2 linked regions of the Xenopus tropicalis genome follow. The protein of the gene in region 1 purifies or fractionates together with the protein of each later gene. This does not show direct contact. Links are inferred from orthologs where the notes say so. Each region holds a gene or a part of one and is shown in the gene's direction. Other genes may lie near its edges.

Evidence for each region.
Region 2: the proteins of itga3 (region 1) and cd9 purify together in Homo sapiens (affinity purification with western blotting; 3 studies listed by BioGRID and IntAct, with this or other methods). This does not show direct contact. The link is inferred for Xenopus tropicalis from reciprocal best matches to the Homo sapiens genes ITGA3 and CD9.

The regions. Positions count from the first base shown.
Region 1 is NC_030686.2:14,721,277-14,724,398, forward strand, and holds part of itga3 (integrin alpha-3), read left to right. Parts: intron 1-241; coding exon 242-343; intron 344-919; coding exon 920-1,033; intron 1,034-1,412; coding exon 1,413-1,511; intron 1,512-1,928; coding exon 1,929-2,054; intron 2,055-2,593; coding exon 2,594-2,704; 3' UTR 2,705-2,737; intron 2,738-3,122.
Region 2 is NC_030679.2:18,570,442-18,574,372, reverse strand, and holds the start of cd9 (CD9 antigen), read left to right. Parts: upstream 1-1,609; 5' UTR 1,610-1,657; coding exon 1,658-1,723; intron 1,724-3,931. UniProt on the Homo sapiens protein: Integral membrane protein associated with integrins, which regulates different processes, such as sperm-egg fusion, platelet activation and aggregation, and cell adhesion.

The DNA.
Region 1 (3,122 bases):
TCGGGTCGGATTCGTGGGTTAGTAAATCAGCCCCTTAGACTGCACACTGAATCAATACCTCCTTTATAGATGCCATATAAGACTACAGGAAATCATTTTGCATTTCATTTTTATTATTATAAAACCAATATAAAGGAGTAATAAATAAGTTATACCAGCTCAGTCATATGCCCTTCATCTTACAGATGAGAAAACAAAATATTTCCCTTAATTTAGGTAATATTATATTTGGTGTTTGCAGGTTTCAGAAACTTTGGTTAAAAGAAGGAGAAGACAAATTGATGAGACACCAGATGTTCGGACGTTGGCGGCTGTCAGAAGAGAAAGCTCTGAAGCTGTACTGGTAAGAAACCTTTTGGCCAGTCAGAGCTCGCTCCATGGCTAAGTGAGCAAGAGGCTCCAGGTTTAGGGTCCATTATTAGGGTTCATTATTTCTGATTGGGCAGAACATTAAAGAGCCTATTTAAAAGATTAATCCATTTGACAACTGTAATAAATATAGAAATGAAGATTGGGCCAATTGGCGCAATGATTAACCCCCCCCTCCCCTCAAAATTTTTAATATTGATGAATATGCCACTTAAGGTGATGTACCGTGGCCCGCCTGATATCCAAGTACTATCGGGCAAAATCAGGATTTGGCAGGTCTGAAAATTTCATCTGACAAATGTGAAGAGGAGGCGTGTCTTTTAACCTCCCCGATCTTCCAACTGTTTGTGTACCGACTGATCGCAACAACAGAGAGTCGACCATATCCTTCATGCATTCTCCGTCAGAGAGCATACTAGATCGGCCTATGCATGGCCACCTGTAGTATTCTGCCAAAGTGATTCCAAAAAGACCCAGACTGAATCCTGTATTCAAACCATTCTTATATTCAGTATCATACACATCAAGGTGACTCTTTGCCTTTTTCTAGAAATGTTCCGGAGGAGGAGCAACGTGTGTGCATTTTTCCTGTCCACTGAATGACATGCAGTCAAGAGCAACCATCAGTATGCGGGGAAGAGTTTGGAACAGCACCTTTCTAGAGGTGAAAAAGATTCTCAATCCAGTTACTATCCAACCTGCTGCTCTAGCAATAGTTTAAACTACTGGAATCTGAATGTTTCCCCTCTTTTAGAATTTGATGAGTCCAGTCTCCTCTGTTATTCTTTTACCCTCAAGAGGAGTTTGTTTGGAATGCTTGAGAGCACAGGCAGCACTGATACAATTATTTATAAGTGTTTTAATGTGCATCATTACTGTTTTTGTTTGTTACAATCTGGTCAGCTTAATATAGTACTTAAGAAATACAAACCTTGACTGATGTAAGCTGTTGGTGTAGGGTTTTTATGCCATTTTATAATTCACTTTTCAGTTTAGCTTAATTTCTGCTAACCTTACCTTCATCATCCCAACTTCCCCCTCAGGATTACAGAAATGTAGATCGAGTGTGGGTGATGGGAGGAGCTGAGCTGTACCTGAAAACTGATGTACCCACCATTAACATGAAGAGCCAGTTTGTGACGGTATGTAGAGAAATACAGACAAAAAAAATCTGTCAATTGTATGTTCAGCATCAGTGGCTAAGGACAAAACAAGAAGGGAAATGGGTGTATCTGGTTTGATAACTCTGATCGGTTGTTTGTATTTGTATGTTATTACTTTTGGCCATAATCCTTGGGATGGCTTTATATTGCATCCAGTGTTATTAGTAGGACATGTCCTTCTGAAATGGTTCTAAGTCTTGTAGAACATGCCATCTACAATTTCTGAGAGAGATGTTTGGGTTCCAGGTTGGGTTTCCATTAATTAGGAAATATATATATAAGCCAACTGTATTTGTTCTGCCTCCACTACTTTATATCTGCATCTGCATTGGGTCCTAAATTATCTACCTCTCCCATCCCAAAATGTTCTAATTTTTTTTTTATTCTTCTTCCCAGTTCTCTGTTTCCATAGACTCAGAACTTGAGGAGCCCCCACCAGCTGAGCTGCCACTCTGGTTGATCATTGTCTCGGTAGTTTCTGGAATTGTGCTCCTTGGTATAATTATCTTGCTTCTATGGAAGGTAAGTACCCAAGCCAAGCATCCTCCATCTAACTTTCGCGTCTCACCACCAGAAGCAGATATGTCCTGCATTTTAAAATGCACCTTTGACCTCACTATCTTTTTCTTGTAAGCTTTGATGAGGTGTTTGGTGAGAAATGTTGCATCTTTGCCTTTGATCCAGCTTATGATCAGGCAGCTATACTGTTGATTTTCCAATCTCTTACACTGTTTCAGATAGTAGTGTCTTGCAGTGCAAGCCCAGTATAACACAGTAGCCAGAAACTGACCATAGGCAGGACTACCTTGTTTGCTCAGTCGATTGAGGTTGAATTAATTTTCTCTTCCTTGATCTAACAATATCTCCTCTGAAAACTGAAGCTTTCACCTCTGCTAACCACAATCTCTGGCGTTTGGGTTCAACTTCTCCTGCTTTCGGATCACTTCTTTTTACTGCAGCAGCTACGTAATATAACTTAACAGAGCTCTAACTTCCAGTCTAATTTTTCTAAAATCTTCTTTGGGCTCTGGTTGGCCCCTGACCAATATCGTGCTTTTTAGTGTGGATTCTTCCGGAGGGCCAACACCCGCGCCATGTATGAGGTCAGAGGTCAAAAAGCTGAAATGAAGGTGCAGCCATCGGAGACAGAACGCTTAACCCAGGACAACTGAGTTCAACCTCTGACCCCTGACCCTCCCCCTCGGGTAACCAGGCTATGAGTGTCAACTCACAACTTTCCAGGACCCTTACTGAGTCACTTCTAGTTTTCTATCTAACTTTTTTACTAAGGCTGTTTACAGGCAAGCCAACTTGTTCAGCTCAAAACAAGTGTTCAGCAAATGGAAGTGTGGTACCAGAACTGAAAATATGGGTAACCAATACGCTTCAGCGATGTGTGTACAGAAGTATCATCCAACCTAGAACCCACTATTCTGTACAGTGAGGTGACCCATAGGCCTTTAGGCCATTTAATAAGATTGGTGCAGTCTGGCCATCCATTTGCGTGTCCATATTTTACTGATCTGGCTGATTGGTTGGCTTGCCATGTGTGCAGCCAGCAGCTGAAATAATTTTGTGTGTTTTTCTATA
Region 2 (3,931 bases), on another chromosome or scaffold:
TTTGTCAAAAATAAAAAAGTTTCACAAAACATTTTCCTTACATGGTTTTTATATATCCGACGTTTCAGTTCCTCACAGGAACTTTCTCCCTGAAGAAAGTTCATGTGAAGAACTGAAACGTTGGATAAATAAAAACCATGTAAGGAAAATGCTTTGTGAAACATTTTTATTTTTGACAAATACTTATCATTGCCTTTGAAAGAAAGGTGATGTGTGCCGACCACCTGCAGTCAGGCTGCCCCCCTACCACCCCGTCCCTGCTCCGTGATACTGACTGGGTATTCTGACTGCCCCAACAGGTAGCAGCCCTCAAAACTGAATTAACTTTTTGAAGTTGAAAAAAACTTGTTACAGTTAGGTCATAGATGATAGTTTGACACCCCCTCAGATCAGGTATATCGCTTGAAAAAGTAAGAACAAAAATATTATACTGTACTATATAATACTCAGTGCATCACAAATTGACAAAAGGTTGGCAAAACCCAAAAACCCCTTCACACCCATGGAGTTTGGAGGTACAACATAGATCCATAAGAGATGGAATGGATCTTTCCACGAATATGCCCACCTAACGTGGGCAATATAGGAGTAATCCGATTGTTTGGCCCTAGGGCCAGATATCAGTCAAATAGTGCAGTTGGGGGTCACCATACATGGGCAATTAGGGCCCTTTAAACTGATTTAGCAGCTTACCCGCCCATGTATGGGGACCCCCAACAGGCCTCCCCAACCTATATTTGGTCAACAATCGGGCAGATGCTGATCAGGCAGGCTTAATTTTTCTGTCGGATTGTGGAACACATCCGCTCATTGATGCAGTCCTCGCCCAGACTTTTGTATCCCCTTAATTGTAATTCAATTGTTTGGCCCTAGGGCAAAGTGATAACATTAGCACGATATCACCCTCCTAAAGCTGGCATATTGAGGGAAAGATGAGCGAATCTTACTCTTGGGCCATGCAGCGGCCTTTTTATGCATTACAGTATCTGCATCGGCCTTTTGGCTATATGATATGATAATGCAGTCAATATTTATTAATCATTATAATTTATATATAATTATATAATATATAATATATATAATATATTTATATATAATTATATAATAATAATAATTTATTAATCATGATATATAATGCTATATTGGGGAGGGGGGCTGTAATAGAGTAAGCAGATATTAAACTGCTAAGGGGCCTGGTATAGGGGTGAAGCACTGACTGTCACAATACATGTATAATAATAATAGTATAATAATGTCTTGATCATAAAGTTTAAAGGGGTTTTAACACGACTCTCTTGGTGCAATGTCACTTGTATATATCTCTTTAAAAAAAAGTAAAAGAAAGTGGGGTACTTTATTAAAAAACATTAAATATCTGGCTATTTGTCCAACACTGTAATTTTCGTTATAGAAATCAACTAGTAATTATCCAAACCTGATCAGTCAAAAGGCGAAAGAGCAGGAGAAGGGAAAGGTGGGGTAGAAGCCATGCCAGCAGTGTCCTGTAGGGGGCGCAAAATATAGCGTTATTAGCCAAGAGGTGTGGGCGTGGGTGTAGGACACTCCGAGTAAATCAGGATTTACACACCCTGCGCAGCTCTCTCTCTTCCACCGATCCAACAACTTCATCAAAGTTCGCCAGCCGGAAAGTGCCACCATGCCCGTCAAAGGGGGGATCAAGTGCATCAAATACCTTCTGTTTGCCTTCAACTTCATCTTCTGGGTGAGTTTCGGTCTGTAGGTTCTGCTGGGGGGACTCGGGTGTGGGAGAGTAGAAGGAGCCCTGGGCGGAAAGGCGTGTTTGGAGCTCGCAAAGGGATATAGTGCTGTAGCATTGCTGCCTGGGGCTCAGACTGGCTGTTAGTGATACATTTGTAACAGTATTAATGTTAGGGATTCGCTGTAGTACAGGTACACGTACAGTTATATATGGGCATAAGTATATACAGGTATAGGTTTATATGTGTATTGCTTGTAAAATCAGAAGAAAATGAGAAAATGCTTAAATATGGCTCAATGGGGGAAATATGATTTCCATATTTCAGAGTTTCTTGTTGTAAAGCTATGAGTTTTAATATTATCTTAGGTGGAGGGTGACTTTGGTGTTTGGGCAAGCTAATTAAAGACATTATGGCTAATGTCACACTAGGCTGTGTCTCTGCCTGCGTTTCTGTGCAGGCAGAGAAACAGCATAGTGTCACATAAGCCTTTCTACATGGTAGAACACATGGCAGGATAAATACAGTGCCAGTTCCCATATATATTACCCCAGAACACATGACAGGATAAATACAGTGCCATTTCCATATATATTACCCCAGAACACATGACAGGATACAGTGGCAGTTTTATTTCCCCCACAACACATGGCAGGATAAATACAATGCCAGCTCCATATATAATGCCCCAAAAATACATGGCGAATGTGGTGCCAACCTTGTGTATAATATCTCAATCCTATTTCTTGTAGTAAATGCGTTGGTGTTGGTTTGGGGAGGCTCAGGTTTCATTAAAATCTGCCCATCATTATTGTTAATGCATATTTATTAAGCCCTATCATATTTCCTAGGGCTGTACAGTAGGAGAGTGTACACATCAAACAACGTACAATGATCAGAGCTTATAATCTAAAATAAGACATACATGTGTATATCCGTATTCTTTTCTCTGTATAAACTGCTTAGTGGTGGATTGTGGAGGGTTAAACAGGATTGGGGAATGTTTACACTGAAAGCCTGCATGGGGTTTTGTAGGTTTTTTTTTGGTATAATAAATAACTCCTTCAGTGCTGGAGCAAATGCTTTTGGGCAGGGCAAGGTTCAGTGCCCCAGTGTTGACAAACAGCAGCAGCTTATATGGTGTAGCCCTGCTCGTGGTTTCAGTTCTGCAACAACTGAAGTATCTAAAGTTGTACTGTTACCTTAGGGTCACCACCATACACCAGATATGGCCCTAGTTATTATAGTCGTGCCTGACCACAAAAAATGCACTGTTATGGTATTAGAGTTGGCACCATACCCCTTTAAAACTGGACAGACAGTACCCATGCTGAATCGTGTATCAGCAATACATTTTCATGCGCAGAAACTGGTGCAGTCACAATGAGCTGTGAACTAACCATGAATTATATGGGTTTATATTGTGTCAGCTGGGATCCTACAGGAAAACATAGGTGTGGGGCTGCAGAATATGTGGGCATTATATTGATTCATTGAAATGTGATCCCATTATTAATTGATGCAAGGTGTTGGGGTGGAAGGTCCCTGCCCCTTTGGAGACAATCCATGCAACACCTGTGTAAATATTTGGCTTAAAGGCCCTGTTTTACTCTCCCAGATCAGCATTGAAGGCTATTTTTGCTACAGAGCTTGCTGTGTGCCAAGAGAAAGGCAGGAAGGATAGGGTTAAACATTAATATAAGTCACTCTTTTAGTGTGGTTTTTGGTATACCACCCCCCCCCCCCAACCCAACCTGCCAACTTCTCAGTTGCCTGTATGCACTGCACAGACAGAAAAAAACAGATGAAAGTCAGCTTAGGAGTGGCAGGGAATAGGTTAAACTGTTTTAGGCGCCCCATATTCTGATCCCTGGTTGCTGGCTCCCAGGGTGCTTAGAATTTGTCAACAAGTGGGACAGCGCTGAACCTTTAGAACATAATTGCCTGATAGACTATAAATGTATTTTCGGTTGTGCTTAATTACTTGGTTCATTGTTCCCTGTTAGCCCTAAAGTATTCAATGCCTTATGTACCCCAGGAGGGTTAAAGGCCCCACCTCCCGACATGTCCCATTATCATTATTTCATCTGGAAGAGTTAGTGGTGGATGCAGAGCAGGAAGGACAAGGAGCTGGTATAGGGTTGCCATCTTTTCTGAAAAAAAAAAATACCGGCCTACTATATATATATATATATATATATATATATATATAT